Drosophila melanogaster: one gene and its partners. The protein of the gene in region 1 interacts with the protein of each later gene in a pairwise test. Each region holds a gene or a part of one and is shown on either strand. Other genes may lie near its edges.

The links. The genes of interacting proteins can lie anywhere in the genome.
Region 2: the proteins of Smn (region 1) and Gem3 interact in a two-hybrid assay, tested with the Drosophila melanogaster proteins (2 studies listed by BioGRID).
Region 3: the proteins of Smn (region 1) and Rpp20 interact in binary tests that used the Drosophila melanogaster proteins (3 or more experiments, as listed by UniProt).

Annotation. Positions count from the first base shown.
Region 1 is NT_037436.4:16,579,898-16,583,159, forward strand, and holds Smn (survival motor neuron), read right to left. Parts: upstream 1,651-3,262; 5' UTR 1,555-1,650; intron 1,491-1,554; 5' UTR 1,286-1,490; coding exon 605-1,285; 3' UTR 501-604; downstream 1-500. Other genes in the region: Rpn12 (regulatory particle non-ATPase 12), read left to right, coding at 3,203-3,262. UniProt on the Drosophila melanogaster protein: Core component of the survival motor neuron (SMN) complex that plays an essential role in spliceosomal small nuclear ribonucleoprotein (snRNP) assembly in the cytoplasm, is required for pre-mRNA splicing in the nucleus and acts as a chaperone that discriminates target and non-target RNAs of Sm proteins.
Region 2 is NT_037436.4:10,457,250-10,466,172, forward strand, and holds Gem3 (gemin 3), read right to left. Parts: upstream 5,853-8,923; 5' UTR 5,778-5,852; coding exon 5,588-5,777; intron 5,530-5,587; coding exon 2,633-5,529; 3' UTR 1,832-2,632; downstream 1-1,831. Other genes in the region: CG32061 (uncharacterized protein), read left to right, coding at 6,652-7,296.
Region 3 is NC_004354.4:19,741,438-19,747,729, reverse strand, and holds Rpp20 (ribonuclease P protein subunit p20), read right to left. Parts: upstream 3,300-6,292; 5' UTR 3,202-3,299; coding exon 3,049-3,201; intron 2,976-3,048; coding exon 2,625-2,975; 3' UTR 2,624-2,624; coding exon of another isoform or gene 2,177-2,623; 3' UTR 1,832-2,176; downstream 1-1,831. Other genes in the region: parvin, read right to left, coding at 1-480, 648-919, 999-1,088, 1,421-1,541; CG33932 (uncharacterized protein), read right to left, coding at 2,177-2,623; CG18809 (uncharacterized protein), read left to right, coding at 4,862-5,950. UniProt on the Drosophila melanogaster protein: Component of ribonuclease P, a protein complex that generates mature tRNA molecules by cleaving their 5'-ends. Also a component of RNase MRP complex, which cleaves pre-rRNA sequences.

The DNA.
Region 1 (3,262 bases):
TGCAAAAGAGAAGGATTTACCACTTATATTTCAAATCGTAAGCCTGTGAAAATAAAGGATGCATTTGGCAGTGTTGAATATGGACGGTTAAAAGGTCCAAGCGCATTTTTAGCTAGTTTGTTAATTAGGCAATACTACCATGTACTCTCTTTATCATTATATCTTATTTTTTATCAATAAAATTTTTCAGCTTCTGATTTTAAAACAGCTACACGATACCCAAAGTTAAAGAAATCTATTGCAGTGTAAGAAAGTCTGCTTACCAATCAAAATATCCGTTTTTTTTCTTTTCTGATTTGTATACTGCCAGCTAAAATATCGCCATTCTACGATCTATCGAAGGTTATGAAAATTCCGTTATACTACAAACTCAACCGCTCGCTACGAAATGTATCGAAGCACTGATTTTCTCAAGTGGCCATATTGAATGTCAACCTAAATTTCTGCCTGCCTCGGCATTTTTTTTTTCCATTTATGTAGCAATTGAAACGAGATCCCACCATGACGATACTGACTCTTTAATATAATAAATTTAATCGTTCTGTTTTCTTAATATCTACAAGTCTTTCGAAAAGATGTGATGTGATGATGAGATAAGATGGAATTACTTCTTGGGTGTCTTTTTCTTTCCGCTAGTGGTGCTGGCTTCTTTCTTTCCCTGGTAGAGGCCCGTATAATAGCCGGACATGTACCAGGCGGTGAGCATGGCCACGAAGTCCTGTTCGGCGCCGTCCCCTTGTCCGACAATCATGGGCGGTACTGGTGGCATGGGCGGCATAACCAGTCCGCCAGAGATCCTACTCCTTCTGGATGACTTGGGAGTCTTTGAATGACTACCAGCGGATGCCTTAGGGCGGCTCAACTGCTCGTCCTCATCCTTCTTGGCGATAAGGAACTGCTCGCGACGCACACGCTTGCCCCAGGACGGCAGGAGGTCCACGAGCAACACCTCCTGCTCGTTCTCATAGCCCAAATAGCGGAGTACGCAGGTGCCCTTCTCCTCGTTAATAGACACCACAGCGCCCTCGTAGTCCACACCATCCACGTAGGTGGCCCTGGCGTAGTCGCCTACTTTGAAGGATACTGGTTCCGGGCTGGTAGCCCCACCAGTGGCCGAGATCTCGCCAGCTTCTTCTTCAGCTGCGGCAGCGTTCTCCTCCTCGCGCTTGTTGGTGGAATCGGCGAGGCGGCGGGCCAAAGCTTCGCGGGCCAGTCCCACCGACTCGTCGTACGTCTTCACCAGCAAGGAGTCATCCCACACCGCGGCGTTCGTCTCGTCGGACATCTCGGCTTTCTATCCTATCAGGCAAGTATCACGTTTTTAAAGGAAGAACCAAGTTTCGCTTTTATGCGAATTTGCTGTGTGTTGGAAAGCGCAGGCGAATCACCGCTTAGCAGCACAGGCCGAAACATGAAACTATCGCTAAAAGGTGTACATTCAAACTAAGATGTGATAAAATTTATGAAGTCATTCTGGGTATTATATTATTCTGAAAGCGAACGAAATGGTTAAGAAATATTTAAATTCAGTAAAGCTGAAAAAAGTTTTCATACTTTGTGGCCAACATTCACAATGCAATCAGAATACTTCCAATGTAATTGTATTGTATTTATTGTTTTAATTGAAGTCTTCTTTTTATACTTTCCACTAAAAATACTTTATTGTGAGTGGTGTTGTACCTATCGTCCCCATTAACCGCACGATAGTATCGATACTTATCAGCATGCATCTTTAACACAATAAACAAACAATAAATTGATCGATCCGACCTGAAAGCGAGATCGCTAAATTTTTTAACTCAATTTCGGAGGTATGGAGTTGGGGTTGGTGTGCCGAATTTGCCTCGGGCAATGTGAAAACGAGTTCAATATTTTTGAAGTTAAGCACGGCACTGAAGCTTCAATAGCGTCAATCATTTCCGAGTGCACTGGCCTCAAAGTGGAAAAAGGCGATCATCTACCCGAAACATTTTGCACCTCCTGCTGCCAAGATGCACAAAATGCGTTCGAGTTTAGAAAAACCCACCAGAGGAGCTAATAATTTTACGTTTAGTTAATGGAGGAATCCCGATTCCGCAAGGTATCTTATTCCGAGGATGGGGAATCGAGTATCGATGGAGGTGCTTTTCAGCATTTTGTCGAACTCGAAAGTGTAGTTGAAGATTGGCGAGGCAGTGGCATGATCCAATGGGAATGTTGTCTAGTGTAGAACGAGCCTCTTTAAAGACGATGATCAGTTCGTGGACTGTGACAGCGATCAATCCAATAGCCAAGTCAATATTGAGGTAATAGACGAAGACTATGATAGTTGTGAAAACCATAGATTGCAAAATAAAGGACGTGATAATGATAAGCTGCTTCAATGTCCTCATTGCCCAACGAGGTTTTGGATAAACTCAGCACTTAAGCAGCACTTGCTGCTTAGCAGCAAAGGCTTTGAAGAGCGTATCGCATCTTTCGGGACATATTGCAATACACACTGAAAAACGGTGCCCCCATTGTACATCGAATTTTACGCTGGCTTCCAATCTTAAAAGGCATCTAATAATCAACACAGGCGAACGCCCCTTCAAGTGCTCCCAATGTCCTAAGGCGTTTTACCCAGAATGCGCATCTTCGAATTCACATGATGAGCCACACAGGAGAGCGACCGTTCCCATGCACCAAGTGCTCCAAAAGCTATTTCACGAACACGCAACTGCGGTACCATCTAAAGACCCACAAAGAATGAGAGTTCTGAATCGCTTAATAATTTAAGTTATTCTTGACACAAAACTTATGCCCAAGGTCAAATAGACGTGATTTCAATACCCGAAATTTTTAACTATACTGAGACAATCACTAATTGAATAAACAGTCCGAGCTTAAATGCGAAAATTTAGATTTAAACTCCATTAGATAGTTTGTTAAAATATATCGATATTAAAGCACAAAGGAAATACAATACCCCTTGGATCAAATCATAAAGCTTTCAGTTGTAAACTGTTAAACTATATAGAGTTCGTCTAAAAAATGTATTTTTCAACTTAAACTTACACTTAAATAATATTCCCAGCCCTGTGGTAACTTGACAATCGATAACTGTTCCGATAACGATTGTCCTATCGCTTTACCCTACAACAATTGCCATCTCTAAAAAAAAGCGAAAATCATCTTGGGAATTTGCAGAAAACATTTAAGCTTCAATATACCAATCTAAAGAATGGCCAACGTGGAATCGCTGTACAAAGAACTGACCGCCGAGTGGTCAAAGCGGCCACCA
Region 2 (8,923 bases), 6.1 Mb from region 1:
GAAAAATGCCAGCGAAAATATTTCTTGCGTAGGACTCTATTTATGTGGTCCCAAAAAAATATAAGAGAAGAAAAAAATGAAAATGAAAAAACATAACCCAGAACTTTATTTATCACATTTAAAATGCGATAAAACAGCATTTCAGTGGGGCACTGCATAAATTACGTTTATGCATTTAAGTTATGCATTTGCACAGGCCCTAAGTGTCAAAATAATTCATTATAATTGCCCACAGATCATTTTTGTCAACGATTTTTTCTGCTTTGTTTGCCCGGCGCGTATTGCGTGCGTTTTCCTATCGTTTCTTTTTTGGCTTATTTATTTTATTTATTTTGTTTCCTTTGGCTTCTTACGCTTTTAGTTTTTATTTATTTATTCATGTTTTTTTTTTATTTTTTTTATTTGTTGCCATGTCGTCGCGTTTTGGGCCGAAAGAGCAACAAGCGAGTGAATGAGTGAGTGAATAATTGCAGGCATGCCATGTTGTTTATACTAAATTTAATTAATGATGACTTTTATTTATGAATGCGTGGCCGGGCGTTGTGCATTCGGTCACATAAATCGGAGCTGAGCCACACCCCCAAGGGGTCGAAAAGGGGGCGGCTGGTGGGGGGGAAGGTAATATCTTCAGCTGCTGCTAATCTTCGGTTAGCCAAGGGCTAGGATTAAGTTAAATTGATTAGCGCGTTGGCTATCTTAATTGAGATCTCTACTTCGTTTATCATAATTTCATAAGCAATAAATTCTAATTAGCAGTTGGGCGACTAATGGATTCTTGCATCTTAACGTGCCTCATTTATTTGGTTTTCAGGTCAGCAAAGATAGCGTTTTATCTGTTTATTGGTATATTCAATACCAATTATCAATAAAATAAAATTTTGCATATCTATCGTAGCTGACTAATCAATTATCTAATTTCATTGTGACTATCTTAAGCTCATATCCTTATTTTAATTATTACGTTTGCAGCTTCATGTTAAAAAGCAATTGTTGTAATATCCTAAATGTGATATTTTACTTAATTTTCTATTAATATCGCTATAATTATTTTCACGACGTTCAGCAATTTTAATTAGGTTTTGTGCGGCCCGGTGTATCTGAATCAGTATCTGCAAATTGCCCATGGCCCCTGGAGCGTTCCACTTGGCCCACAGATGAAAAACACAAAAAAAAACGCGGCGGCAATTGCCTGGTGCCCCCATATATGGACGACGAGACCGCAAAAATATTATTGCGCTGAACAAATTTTTAGTTTATTTTGTTGTGAGCCATAAAAATGTTAACATCATTATAAGACTTTAACACCTGCACCAGCTGGCCGAGCATTTTTCGCATCTCGCATTTATCGCTAATCGAATTGAGTTTGCTGCCACTGCGGCAGCGACAAAATGCAACGCTATCCATGTCTCTAGGATCTATAAAATGTTGTCGCTTCCAGCTCGCTTTGAATTTGCGTTTTCTCACGCTCCTTATTGGACTTGCAACGCAGGGGGGGGAGGGGTGTTGCACTCCAAAAGAGGGGCACTTGGGGCACTGCAGATCGACGACCAATGAGCAGTACCATCCAGATGCCGGCTTTTTGCGTGCTCGACCGCAGGGCGAATGTTTTGACTATGCCACCGACGCGGCATGCCGCCTGTGGACCGTCTCATTCGCTTAACCCATTGCGAAGCACTCGCAAATGGGGACACAAAACTCGTAAAAGGAAACTTAAAAATTTTAACTGCATTTAATCAATTTAAAAATAAATTATTTATGAATCGAAGTATTTTAAAAATTAAATACAGCAGTGGAGTATAAAAAGAAAATAGTAGAACTCATTTATTTGCTGACAAACATGGCATTCGTTGCACAAATAATTCACAAAATGCATTAAATAAATAAATAAAACATAAATATATGTCATATTTTTGTACAATCCATTCTGATTTTCGAGTGGCTTTCAAAATCGAGTGAACGACTTTTGACAACAGCTAATTAATGGGTTAACACCTCTGCAGTCAGTTGCAAAGTGAGCGGCGCCCGTGCAACAATGTTGTCTGCCACACAGCTGATGCCCGTTGCCCGATGGTCGATGGTCGATGCCGATCCCGATCCCACTGACTATATGATTTATGTCCCGGCAGTCGGTTGGCGCCGCTTCTTTACCTTCATCCATCCGGCTTGCCGAAACCAAGAAAAATGTTTGTTTTCCCATCTCTTAGATAAATCATTGCGAGTGATTAAAGGGATTTAACTTTCACATTGTGGATTAATTTGTTTGATGCGATTATGTAGCGAATAAACATGAAAAACAATCAATTTTGAAATCAAAGAAGTTGAGCAATGAACTTATTGTTTAATAAATTCAAAATAGTTAGTTTCCTGCTTTAATTCATTTATTTTTTTGGTAACAAATTCTGCAATTTATTGCTTGCATAAAAAAACATTCATGGTATCCAACATGCTATCAACTATTTCGACATTGAGTATTCTAATTAAGAAAACGGTTTAACTGGCTACGATATACAATTGTAAGGAAAGAGACTGATACAGCCTCTCTTGGAACTGATCCGTTTTGTTTCCGAATGAAGTGATTAGTTGAGTTTAATTTTAATGCCTGAGTTTTCACTAGTTTTTCATTCATAACCACTTAGTAATAGTTCTGTAGATTCTTGGCCACATGGGATGCAATGAATTGGTACTGCATGTTGAAAGTCTGCAACCACAATGATTGAGCGTTCTGCATTGAACTGACATTGGTTACAGTTACAGAATCATCATCCGAAGATTCATAGGTGCTGCTCGCTACTGAAGATCGCTGTGAGCTTGATCCTGTCGCGCTGACATTGCTTCCAGCTTCCGAATCTGTTAAGGATTCAGTATCTGATTCATCATCCGAAATAAAGAATGCACTTGAATTATTTCCAGATGCGCCCGTAGATTCCGTTTCGTAAACGGAAGTGTCTATTCCAGACGAAACACTCTCCTGACTCTCTACAAAACCACTCGATGAATTTGGCCCGCCATCGCTGCCATCGTCCTCATCGTCCACAATGATCTCTTCGCCTTCGCCGTATTCCTGCGAGTCCTCCGTATCCGATTCACTTCCTGAACCAATTTCAACAGCGGCCTGTGGCATTGGTGGTATGTCCATCTGATTCGTCACATGAACACTTAACTTGTTCTTTAGATCCTTCTCCTCCTCCTCCTCCTCCTCTGATTCCGAAGACTCTTGGCTCTCGTAGTTATCAATGGATTTTAGGGACTCCTTCATAGCTTCCTTAAAATGCTTCTTCCTCTCCTTAGCACTGTTATAGTACATTTCCAGGATGGATTTATAGAGCTTATCCAGCAAAAAGCCAACCCTCGCATTGTCAATGAATTGATTCTTTGCATATTTGTGGAGCCGTTTCAAAAATCTCTCTTGATTTGTAAATTTTTGAAGCAGATGACACAAATTCATGTGTGGCAAAAGTGATATATTTTTGTATACATGACGTTTTCGCAAATGGTGTGCTTTTTTGGATCTGCATGACGAGCTCATCCGTTTTTTAAGCTTGCGTTTAACATTCGCCTTTAGTTTAGGAAATACTTTCTTGTATAGTATCACACGCCGTTTTCCATGGCCTCTCTTGCTCTTCAGCTGACGCCTTTGTTTCGACATTAATCTATTCCAGATCTCCTCCTCATCACTGGTTGCATAGTATGTGTCGTAGGACCTATCGCTATGATAGCCACATACCACCATGCTATCCGAACTGATGCTACTGGCATCGTCCACCGTGTTCGATATTACCATGTTCTGTATGGTCATCGAACTGGTTTGCGTTGGAGCAGCTAGGCAATAGGTTTTGTTGTTAATCGAGTTGGCTGGCGGTGCAGGTGGTGTCACTGTGGTTGGAGACGGCTCCTGGGTCAGTTCCAATGGTGTTAGGGTTGGTGTCAATTCGGGAGATATAAACTCCACCGGTTTTTGATTAGATTTTGACGGAACCTGGTGGTTTCCCGCTCCATTAACAGGATGATACTCTTTGCCGTCTGCTGTTCGTTGTATGTCTTCTTGCATATAGTATTTATTTACGGTGATCTCTGGTGTTTGCTGCACTTCAGTTATTTGTTTCTGTAACTTTGATGGAGTGTTAGATTTTTTCCTTCTCTCCGTCTTGTTCGTTTTAGAACCTCCAGCTTTGGAATTAGTTTCTTTAAGCTTTCCTTGCCTTACAATTTCTTTCTCTTTGACCCTAAGATTCTTATTATTATGTGAACTTTCTGGTAAGTTTTCGAGCTCCAACTCTTTTTGGGTTTCAACATTTTCTAAGGCCACTGGTAGTTTGTCTGGATCTCTCCTTTTGCCATCCTGATCCTTTTGAAGATTTTCCAAGTCAACTGAAGAAGCATCAACATTTTCTTTACTTCTATTTTCTTTAATAGGCATAGGCATTTCCTGTAGCGGATTCTCTTCCTTAATGTAATAATCAAAGTTGTACTTTTCGAAATCCCAAAAATTGAATTCATTGGGCATTGGCTCCTTGGGAAACTCCAGAACCGACCAAGCCGTAGCGATTTTTTTTGACATTTCCCTAAATCTCTGGCTCTCCTTCTTGGAGGCAATAAACGTGATGGCTATGCCTTTGGAGCCAAACCGACCAGCTCGTCCAATGCGGTGCAAATAGGTGACATGATCCTGTGGTGGATCAATGTTGATAACCAGGTTGGCATGCGGGGAGTCCACTCCGCGTGCCATCAAATCAGTGGCCACCAGGATGCGCATAGTAAAGTTTCTATAGCCCTCGAAAACATGCAAACGCTCCGATTGTTCCATGGCTCCCGAAATTAAATGACAATCGATACCACTGGCTGTAAGATAGTTCTTGTAAGAATCCGCTCGCATTTGTGAGCTAGCAAAGATGATGGCCTGTTCGTAAGGCAGCTGATTAAAGATCTGGCCAAGAATCTGCAGTTTAAGACGCATCTCCTCCACACTGTTATTCTGCTGTGGCAATTCGTAGACAAACTGCCGAATGCCCAGTAGAACGGTAGCCCTTTCGGAATTCGATATAAGCATGGGTTTGTCCATGACCTTGGCCAGACGCTCATCCAAATTCTGATCGTATGTGGCACTGCAGGCAATTATTTGCCGATTCTTGGGCATTGCCTCAATGAGTTTACTGACCGTATGCTGCAGGCTCTTTGTCTGATAAAGTTGATCGGCCTCGTCGAGCACCAGCAGTCGCAGTTTGGACACATCGAATACTCTATTCTCATACAGATGCAGCAAACGTCCCGGTGTACCGATAATGACTCGACTTTCATTCATTCGCTTGCGATCCTTGGCCACATCGGTGCCACCGATGAAAGCAGAGCATTTAAAGTCCCGAAACGATTTGCAGAGATGGAAAAATGTGTCCTGCACCTGAATGGCCAGCTCTCGAGTTGGGACCACGATCATGGCATGCGGTTGGTTTATGTTGGGATTAAAGCTCTGAACGACGGCTATAACATAGATTAGAGTTTTGCCAGTTCCACTCTTCGATTGTATTATTAGATCTGCAGATTAATATAGCAACTATTATTGATAATCTTCTGTTGCATGCAAGATATTTACCCATTTTGGCCAGTGCCATGGGTATGGCAGCTGCCTGAATCTTCGTTGGCGTCACGAAATTGTTGCGCTTCAATCCGTTCAACAGATTTCGGTATAGACGCAGTTCCTCGAAGGTCTTAACCTGTCCAGGTGCCACATCGCTACTTCGTTCCTCGCCGCCAGCTAAACTGTGCGCTATTTCGCGCTCCATTTCGCGTAAATTTCCACTTTTTGGACAAAATTTTGAAACGATTCGGTTGCCTTGCTACAATTTACACTTTTTTATTGCCGGCCAAAAAATCCATCATACGCGAATAATTATATACTAAAATATACTACAAACGAATTATCCGTGAATATTAAACCTATTTACACAGAACAAAACCTACAGTAACGAAATGTCATTTGTATTCAGAGAAATGTTTACATTTTTCATAATTTCACACAGAAATAAGGTATAATTGTTAGAATTAAATATTATTTTCTGTATTTAAATCTTATGTCGAAATATTAGCGAAGGCTCACACCAAGGTTGCTATCTGTGCTAACTATTTACCAAGCACTCCAACCAATTGAACTAAAAATAAAAAATTAATTCCTTTTGAAATCTTAACAATATATTGTTTTACAATAAAAAAATATGTACATCGTACCGTTGATTGTTTTAATATGAAATTTATATTTCCAATAGGTTGGAATAAGGCAAGATTGTCAAGCACTTAAATGCAGGGGTTTTAGCACAGCTAATAGTTGCTCTCAAACTGTACCAGCTGGCGGGAATTTCAAATAATTTATGTCGCTAAAATAAGTTGATGCAGTTAAGTAGTTTCAGCACGCTGCCTTTCAATTTAATAAATTAATTTATAACAAACAACGATAAAATCTTTTATTATTTACCTAATTGTTTAATTACGTAATTTTAATTACGTATAATTTAAAATAAAAATCAAAAAATGTTTATAATATAACGTTTTTTAAGCAATCAGACTGGGAATGTCAGAGCACATTGAGGTCACACAAAATTAGATACAAAATTTAAAAAACGACTTAAAATTTTTTCATTTTGAACTCCAAATTCGAGAACCATGTTCATACCCAAAATACGAGACATTGGTTACTTTGCGCTGCTGACATCCCTGCACTTGGGCTCAAATCTTCAGCCGGTCATCGAGGCGAATGCCAATCTAAAAACGGTCTATCCCTCCGTGAATCGTAATCTAACGCTTCAATTGGGCTATAAATACAATCACTGGATGCTGGTTAAGGCCATAATGTATTCACTACTATCTATGATCGGAGTTTGGTACTCACGACACTTGCAAAGTGGCAAAAGTGAGGTATCGATGGAAAAGAAAGGAATCCTTAAAACTACGACAACAGCTGCAGAGCAAGTGAAAAACAATTGGATCAAAAAACAGAATTCCGCATTGAAAAACGGAACCCTGCCGCGGAATATATTCCTGTTATTTGCTTTGCCCTGGATATTGACCTTTGTGGCCAGCGGATTGATCAACTATATTCGATTTTACATGGTCATACAGCATTTTTGCATATCTAACTGGAGGGCGATTCAGCTTTATGGAGAACTGCAAGGCCTCTTTTGGCATCGTTCTACATCCGTGACTTTAATACCCTATTGGTCGCAAATTATCGGCGGAGGAGTATCCTTGGAGAAGGCATCTCATCTTTCTGGAAATTGTATTTCCATTGAAACACATCTTTTGGACTGAACATGGCAATCTATATTTAAAATTTTTATTTTATGTTTGATGCAAAAATTATAATAATGGAAAATAAATCGATTTTGTTGACTTAGCTCTAAAGTTTTAAAGTGATTTTGATTTGATCAGTAAACTTAAATTATTGTAGCATTAATTGAGCATTGGAATTCGTTATTGGTTTATTGTTAGTTTTAATTTCTCAACAACATTTGTATTGTTGATTTCTTCTGGTGTTTTGCCTGCGACAATAAGCGACATTTTCAATCAACAAAAGAGAAAACTTTTCTATGAACTTTATGCACCGCTTGGCATTTTATTGTTGGAAAAAACTTTTCCACCACGTGGGAAATATGCGGCAATCACTTTTTCTTGCTCACTTTTATTCAGTGGAGAAAACTCACGGTGAATAAATGTGAAAGGAGTACATAAATACACAAGTGCTATTTTTTGCTTTAAAAAATGTTTGTATCCTTATATGATTATTTCAAGAGCTTTTCATTGAATGGGGAATTATAGTCAGAAAACTCTTAATAGCAGTACTCCTGCATTATTGACCTTTTAAATATCTATTTGTGTATTATAGAAATCTCAACATCACCGACATGACACTCAACCGATCGAAGTTCACTTAAAAACGAGAATTCTCCGAGCACATTTCAAAATTATACCCAAATAAACATTTTATGTAAATTGCTTTAGTGCCGAAAGTTATTCGCGCTTTGGACACTGAATCATATCGACAGGATCTGTGTCGGTCAGCAAACGAGGAAAAACGACACTTGCAAGGATCGTTTCTTGAGTTCTCCATTGGCAAACAACACAATTCGGGTCAACTCTCGATTCCCCCATTTCGGTCCACTGTTTCGACTTGCTGGTAAGTAATATAACTAACAACTAGACTGAGAGGAAATAATATATCGTTTCGGGGTACCAGTTAGAATATTTCATAGGTTCTCTATCAACTCTTTAAAAGGATCTTAGAATTTTGAATCTAGTTTTTCTTGGTAACTTACCAGATTTGCAGTAGTGGTTTCGTCTTTGAAGAAATATAACACTGCAAATAGCATAAAAAAAAACTAATATTATTTTCTTTCTACTTTTAAATTAAATGCAATGTCTTAGGGACTTAAATCAAAGAATATGTATACTACCCGTAAGATTGAAGGGGTATACTAGATTAGCAGAAAAGTATAAGAGAGGTAAAAGCATTTCCGACCTTATAAATATACAAGTTTTTGATCTAGCCAAATTAATAATAAGCTTAGTTCTTTGTTCTTAGTTTCCAAAAAAACATGAAGCTTATATACCCTTGCAGTAATAGTATATAATTTATATATATAAGAAAATGCATTAAAAATAATAACTCTTCCTTGTTGAAACAAGAAAGTCTTTAGAATAAAGCATATGTACAAAACCAATGGAGCCAAATTTCGCTTATAAATTTCCTATACATAATTTAATCTACTAGTAAAATATCTGCAAGTTTCAAATGTTCTTCTGATCGCAACTGTAAGTAAAGCTTTAGATTCTGGACCTATACATATACATAGATACAAAGTTTGTACATAGTTTATACGTACATATATGTTTTTCCTTATTTGACACATCATTTGAATTTAATCTGATCTAGTATTCC
Region 3 (6,292 bases), on another chromosome or scaffold:
GTTGCTGACCATCTGATCCACGTCCTGCGGCGTCAAATGGAACTCGTGCAGCGGCACAAAGAATCCACCGAGCAGGCCCATCAGCAGGCACAGGTATACGCCGTCGCGAAAGTCCGTGTTCAGATCGCTGATCTCAAAGTTCAGCTTGGCCAGGTGCTTGTTCACGAACGTGATCAAGGACTTCTTCACCACGGCCAGCTTGTCCGGCGCACAGTCGATCAGCGTGTCGAAGGCGTCCTTTTCGCAGCGCATGCCCAGGTCGTCGTACTCGGACGTTATCTGCTCCTGGAACTTCTGCGCGTTCAGCACGCCCGCATTCTTCTCCGCAATCACGACGGTCACGAACACGTTCTCTGGCAGGCGAACGGGCGCCCGGAAGTGACGCACCAGTGCCACCAGCAGATGTAATATGGCCACAATGTTCTTCGAGTGCACGCTGGCCACCGACCACTTGGGAATCTTTTGGTGAAAGCCGAGTGTCTGTGGGTGTGGGCAAGGATAAAATTTATTCTTATATCGCGAGAAAAGGGAATGTTAATTGTAAATCGAATAAAAATTATTCTATTCGACTTTAAGAATGGATAAATAATTAAATGTTGGTAACTCCGATTTTTAAATCCTGCAAAACATAAACTACTACTACTTACATGGTTGACGGCCTTCAGGACGATGTTGAGCTTCTCGTGCTGGCCCTGCTCTGACTGGGTGACCTCAGGAACGTCCAGCTTCTTGCCGGTGAGCTTCTCCCACAGCTTGTGCAGCACCTGGCCGTCATACATGTCCTCTTCCAGGTGCTGAACAATTATGCGCTGCTCGGCCAGCTCGTCGTTGATCCAGTCGACGAGGATGCGCTGCAGCTTTATCACCTGGGGATCACTGATGGACTGTGGATCGATGACGGCGCGCTGTTCGTGCTCGCCTGTAGGATCAAATGTGATGAGTTGTGGGAAATGCGATGGGTATACGAGGAGATGCCCCTTCAAAACGAATGCACTTACGCAGGGCATAGTCCTCCGGCGGGATGTCATACTGGCTGGGCGATCCAGGCGAGTCGATGGCGTACTTGCCCTCCTCTTGGACCTTCTTCACTGCAAATGGAGCAAGCGGATGCGTATTTAGGGTATCAACAAGGTAAACAAAAACGGTGACGACACAAGGCCATCTCACACAAACGCACACACTCTCGATTATCAGCGCCGTTTGCTTGTGTGGGTCAACAGTGACGCAATGTTCTGATTAATCAGCGCATCCGCACATCTGTTCCCAGAAGAGCTTCCAGTGCGCAGGGGGAGGATCCATTGGGTCATTTTGGGCCACTTTTCGGAGGTTCAGGGGTCCAAGAATGGAATACTCTGGGATACCCATCAATTCCTGGCCGACAATAGCCATCTGGAGAGCTCCAATCATCAAGTGGACTTACCTTCGCGGGTGCCGCGTTTGCGGCCCAAAGTGCTGAACTTGTCCCAGAAGCTGTCCTCCTTCTCGCCCTTTTTAATGGCGGTGGGCGTGTGCGGGGATTTAGGGCGGTTCAGTGTGGACATGGTGCTGCTGGATTCCAAGAATTCCGGACTAAGTGAACAGTTTGTGTTATTGTTTCGATTCGTTTCGGGCGGAGCTGAGCAATCAGTTTCCCTTGGGGCTGCCACCTGATCGCAGGCCCACCACACATGTTGTCCAACACTGGCGTTCGGACTCAAGAGAAACTTCCAAAAAAATCGAATAAAAACTAAATTGCCAATTATAAAAATTGTTTAAAAAGACCTTAGATTAAATTAAAACAATGAGCTTAAATGTTATTTTTCATTTATAATTTAAAAAAAATGTGGCTTTTGACAACAACAGCTAGAAGAAATTCATATCAGCTTAATAGTTTTTGAATTTGTACATCAAATTAAATTGTTGGAAATTTTAAAAAAATTATAATGCGTAGATCATTAGATCATTGATTAAAAAGCACAACAACATATGTATGTATGTATGTCCTTCATACCGAATCAGATCAGATATAATTCGTATATATTAGATATGCTATATCCAGAAAGATAAATTTCGTACCGCTTAAAAATTATTGTACCACATTGCGTATACAGATAACTACCAATCCAATGATTTAAAGGCTTTCAGAATAGTTACATATATGTATAATACGGAACTAGGGCTATACTACGTCTATGGTTTAGATGGAGTTGGGCAACTGGCAGGCGCGCACAGCCACGAGCTGCAACAGAACGAAGATCGGCGAGAAGACCTCCGAATACTCGAGGCCCGTCTTGCTGGATAGCTTCAGGCAGAGCAGGTACTTGAAGATGGCGATGAGCACCAGGAAATACGTGCTCCACATGAAGCGATGCAGGGCTTTGCGCTTGTTGTTAGAGTCCAGGTACATGCGGATGCCCACAATGACGCAAAAGTACGCGTTGCAGATGTCGATGAAGAACAGGGGGCTGAAGACGGTGAACCAGTCGCCCATGGGCTCCGGGAGTATGCCACCGGGTCCGGCCCTGGCCTGCAGATGGAGCTTGACGGTCAGCGTGATGGTGAACACCAGCAGGCCGCACAGATTGACCAGAATCTCGAACTCGGTGAGCCCCAGCCAGCGCACCAGCTCCGAGAGTTTGAACATGCTACTGCCTGGCCTTCGCCTTGCCTCGGAACTGGCCCAGGGACTGGGCTTGCGTCTGGGACTGCGACGGTTGCGGCACGGCGATGTCGAAGAGACTGTTATTGAGGATCTTGATGTGCAGGGCCGAGTTGTTGCGCTGGCGGAAGGTTATGTCCTCGGCATCGCACAGCGGGTGCAGTTCGTCCACCAGCTGAACGGTGGAGGTGTTGATGGCGTAGCTAAGGGCGCCGTCAGAATTCTGGACGAGGCGTAGGGCGATATTGAGGCCGCGGGTTACGGAGAAGCCCATGCAATGCAGAAAGATCTCGTGGGCGCCGGAGTTAATCAGCTCCTCGCAGCGGCGCTGCTGGGCCTGTCAAGGAGATGGACTCTGTCACTTAGCACATGGGCGATTCACCATCCAGCATGAGTTCAGTTCTACTTGCCTTAAAGTCTGTCTTGCTGGTGATGTAGATGTTGTGGCGGTCGCTAACAGCGGGACGCGGCGGCTGCTTGCGCACCACTCGGTGGTTCTGTTGTTTGTGGTATTTGGCGGATCTCGGCTTGGTCCCGTGCTCGGGATAATTGCTTCCCATCATCAGCGGCGGAGGAGGCGACTTGTGTTTTCCATTTACCTGCGCGTGTCGCAGTTTCGGACTCGCGACTCCATTCCGAATCGCACGCTGGCCAACACTGGCCAACTCTAGCGAACACTAGGCAATAGCTGAGCGATCTGGCAGCCTGGCTCTAGCTGTCACCGTGACAGCTCTCGATAGTTTTGAGCCAGCCCATCGCTATAGCTATCGCCAGGCTCGTGAGATTCTCGCCAGTTGAAAATTTTTCGTCGTACTCTCGTAACAACAAAGGTATGTTTTTCGTTTTGGCACCTTATCAAGTACACCAGACCGTAAGCCAAGGCACCGATCGATGCCATCCAAAGCAAGAATTAACTTGGCCGCGCGGCGCCACTTCGCCACTCCAAATCGCAACACTCGCACACACACACACATACACTAGCGCACTTACACACTTCCGCTGGCGAATTCCTCGGGCAGCAGGAAAAGAAGAAAGAAAAAAGTACAAGTTACATAACTCGCTGATGCACTCGGGGTAGTCATGTCTGTCGGGGTGAGTTGTTTGATGAGGGGCGGGCCGGGTCTGCATCTTCCTGCGTAAGTTGGCCCCCACCAAATGGATCCGTAACCGAATGGGCGTACGGATCCCCAGGGTTACATAAGTCACCGCCCGCCACCGAGGGGTTGCAACGGAAAGCGAACAGAAACAGTCCCCTTAACGTAGCCACTATTTTGTAGCCAGAAAGAAAACTCAACTCAAATCAGATCAGATCAAACCCCCTGCACAGCGCGTCCTGGTTCGAGTAACGTTTTGTATTCATGCGTTCAAGTCATTTTTCCATGCAGGCGAATCCGAAAATCCGATACGTTTCAGAGTCGCAAACAGTCAAGAGTTAAGCACAAATCGCCACTAAAAGCTAAAAGGCTAACAAGCTGAATCGCACTGATTCGCACGTAGCCAGCCAAACGGAAGGACTCCTCCGCATCCACAGCAGCAGCAACGGCGAGCAGCACGAACAACATCCACGGATGATAACGTAACGTAGCCGCAACGTTGGAGCAACACCACCTTCCACATCCACTTCCACCGCAGCGGACATCGCAAACAAGTAAATTACCATTTCTCATTTTATCAAACAGAAATCTGCCAGCCAAGTACCAATCCAATCAAATCGAATCGAATCAAATCAAATCGAGTCCAAATCAAATCAATGCATCCAAATCCAAGTCTGAGTATCCAAATTGCATAAGAGTCGCGTCTGCGCAGTGAAGCATTACTTGTCGCGAGCATTACTTATCGCCCGTCCACTTGGTTGGAGTTCCGGCTCCCGAATCCGTACCCAATGTCACCCAAGTCAACCCGATTTTGATTCTGATTCGGCCCGGTCAAGGAGCCAGCGCCAGCCAAGTCAAGACAGTGCTCGAAAATAATGCTAGATTCTCGATTATCGATTCTTGGTTCTCCATTCAAGATTCTGACACGCGCCAAACCGAACAGAAAAGAATAGAATCGAACCGTACCGAACCGAACCGAGACGCAGATCCAAAAAAAGAACAAAACGCTAACTGATTACAAAGTATACAGATCTTGTGTATAGGTATTTCGTAAACGCGCCTCTGTCAACTGCTCGATTTAACGCGGCACAGTTTCGATTTGCAGATCATCACTACATCCACACCCGACATGTCGGCGGCCCGCCTGCCCTACTATCAGCGGGATCAGGAGGACGGCCACCAGCGGCGCGCCGCACGCGGCCATCAGCGCGGCTACTACGAGCGTGGCTCTGGTTCCGGATCCTCCAGACGAGAGCACAGTCGCTACAGTCGCAGCCGTTCGCGTTCCCGCAGTCGCAGCCGCTCCGCCGAACGCTTTGGCCAGCGTCGCCGCCACCAGAAACGGCAGTCATCCCGTTACCACAGAGACCGCGACTCCAGAGATCGCTCCCGAGATCGCTCCCGAGATCGCTCTAGGGATCGCGAACGTGATCGCGATAGGGACCACTCAAGGCGCTCCAGCCACTATCGACGCTCGGAATCGCCGTCCTCTTCTGACATTGGCCATGGATCCAACAACAGTCAACGAAGAGGCCACCATGCATCATCATCCAGTAAATCGGAGCTAAGCGCCGTACAGAAGGCAGCCGCTGCAGCTGCCGCCGCCACAAATCAAGTCCAGTTGGCTGGCAAGAGCAGTGCCGCGTCCGCGGTGGGCGCCTACTACAACCTGGACACCGACGAGCCCTTTGACAAGGAGCGCATCCACCGCGAAATGGAGCAGAAGCTGCGCGAAGCACTGGCCAGGGAGGGCAAAGTGTATCCGCCGCCAAAGCCTGAGCCACCATCGCATCCTGTCTTCGCCAACGACGGCTCGTTCATGGAGCTGTTTAAGAAGATGCAGGAGGGCCAAAAGCAGCAAGCGACCAGCCAGTTGATGCAGCCATCGGTCAAAGAGGTCCTGCAGCAGCAGTTGGTTCCGCCGGAGGCGGCCTCCACAGGGCCTGCACTGCCGGCCATTGCATTGGGAGCTGCCAGCAGTGCTGCGGCGCCGTACATTGCTGCCGCGGCGGCCGGAAAGCTGGCGCCGCCGCCACCCATCGTGGGACGACGTCGCGGCGGAAAAGTTCTCAAAACTGGCGTAGTGGCCAAAGTGAAGACGCCCAATGAGAGCGACGTGGACCCGAAGGACTTCTGGTCGTTGTACCTGGCCGAGGTCAACAAGTACAAGAGCAACGCCTGCGATACGGACAACGGCAAGCGGCCGCTGGTCAAGTAGTCGCCGAAATAGTCGCGCTTTCCATAGAAACATGAACTTGAACGCAAAAAGAGCGAGAAACGTATACTGCCCAGACGCAGTACTGCAGATTCGATTTTGATTCGACCATACCCCTGTTCCCGAGACACCATCACATAGCGATCCCTTCCCGGCCCCTTTGAAATGTTTTGTACACGAAAACAAGCGAGCAGAGATGCGTAGCTTATAGTTTTAGTCGAGAGTGGGTGGGCTTATGAGCTGCAAGCGCGAGCAGTGTAATTTGTATTTTTTTCACACGAATCGATATAATATAATATAATATGATATATACCGCTCATTAAGCAAACGCAAACTGAAGAACTA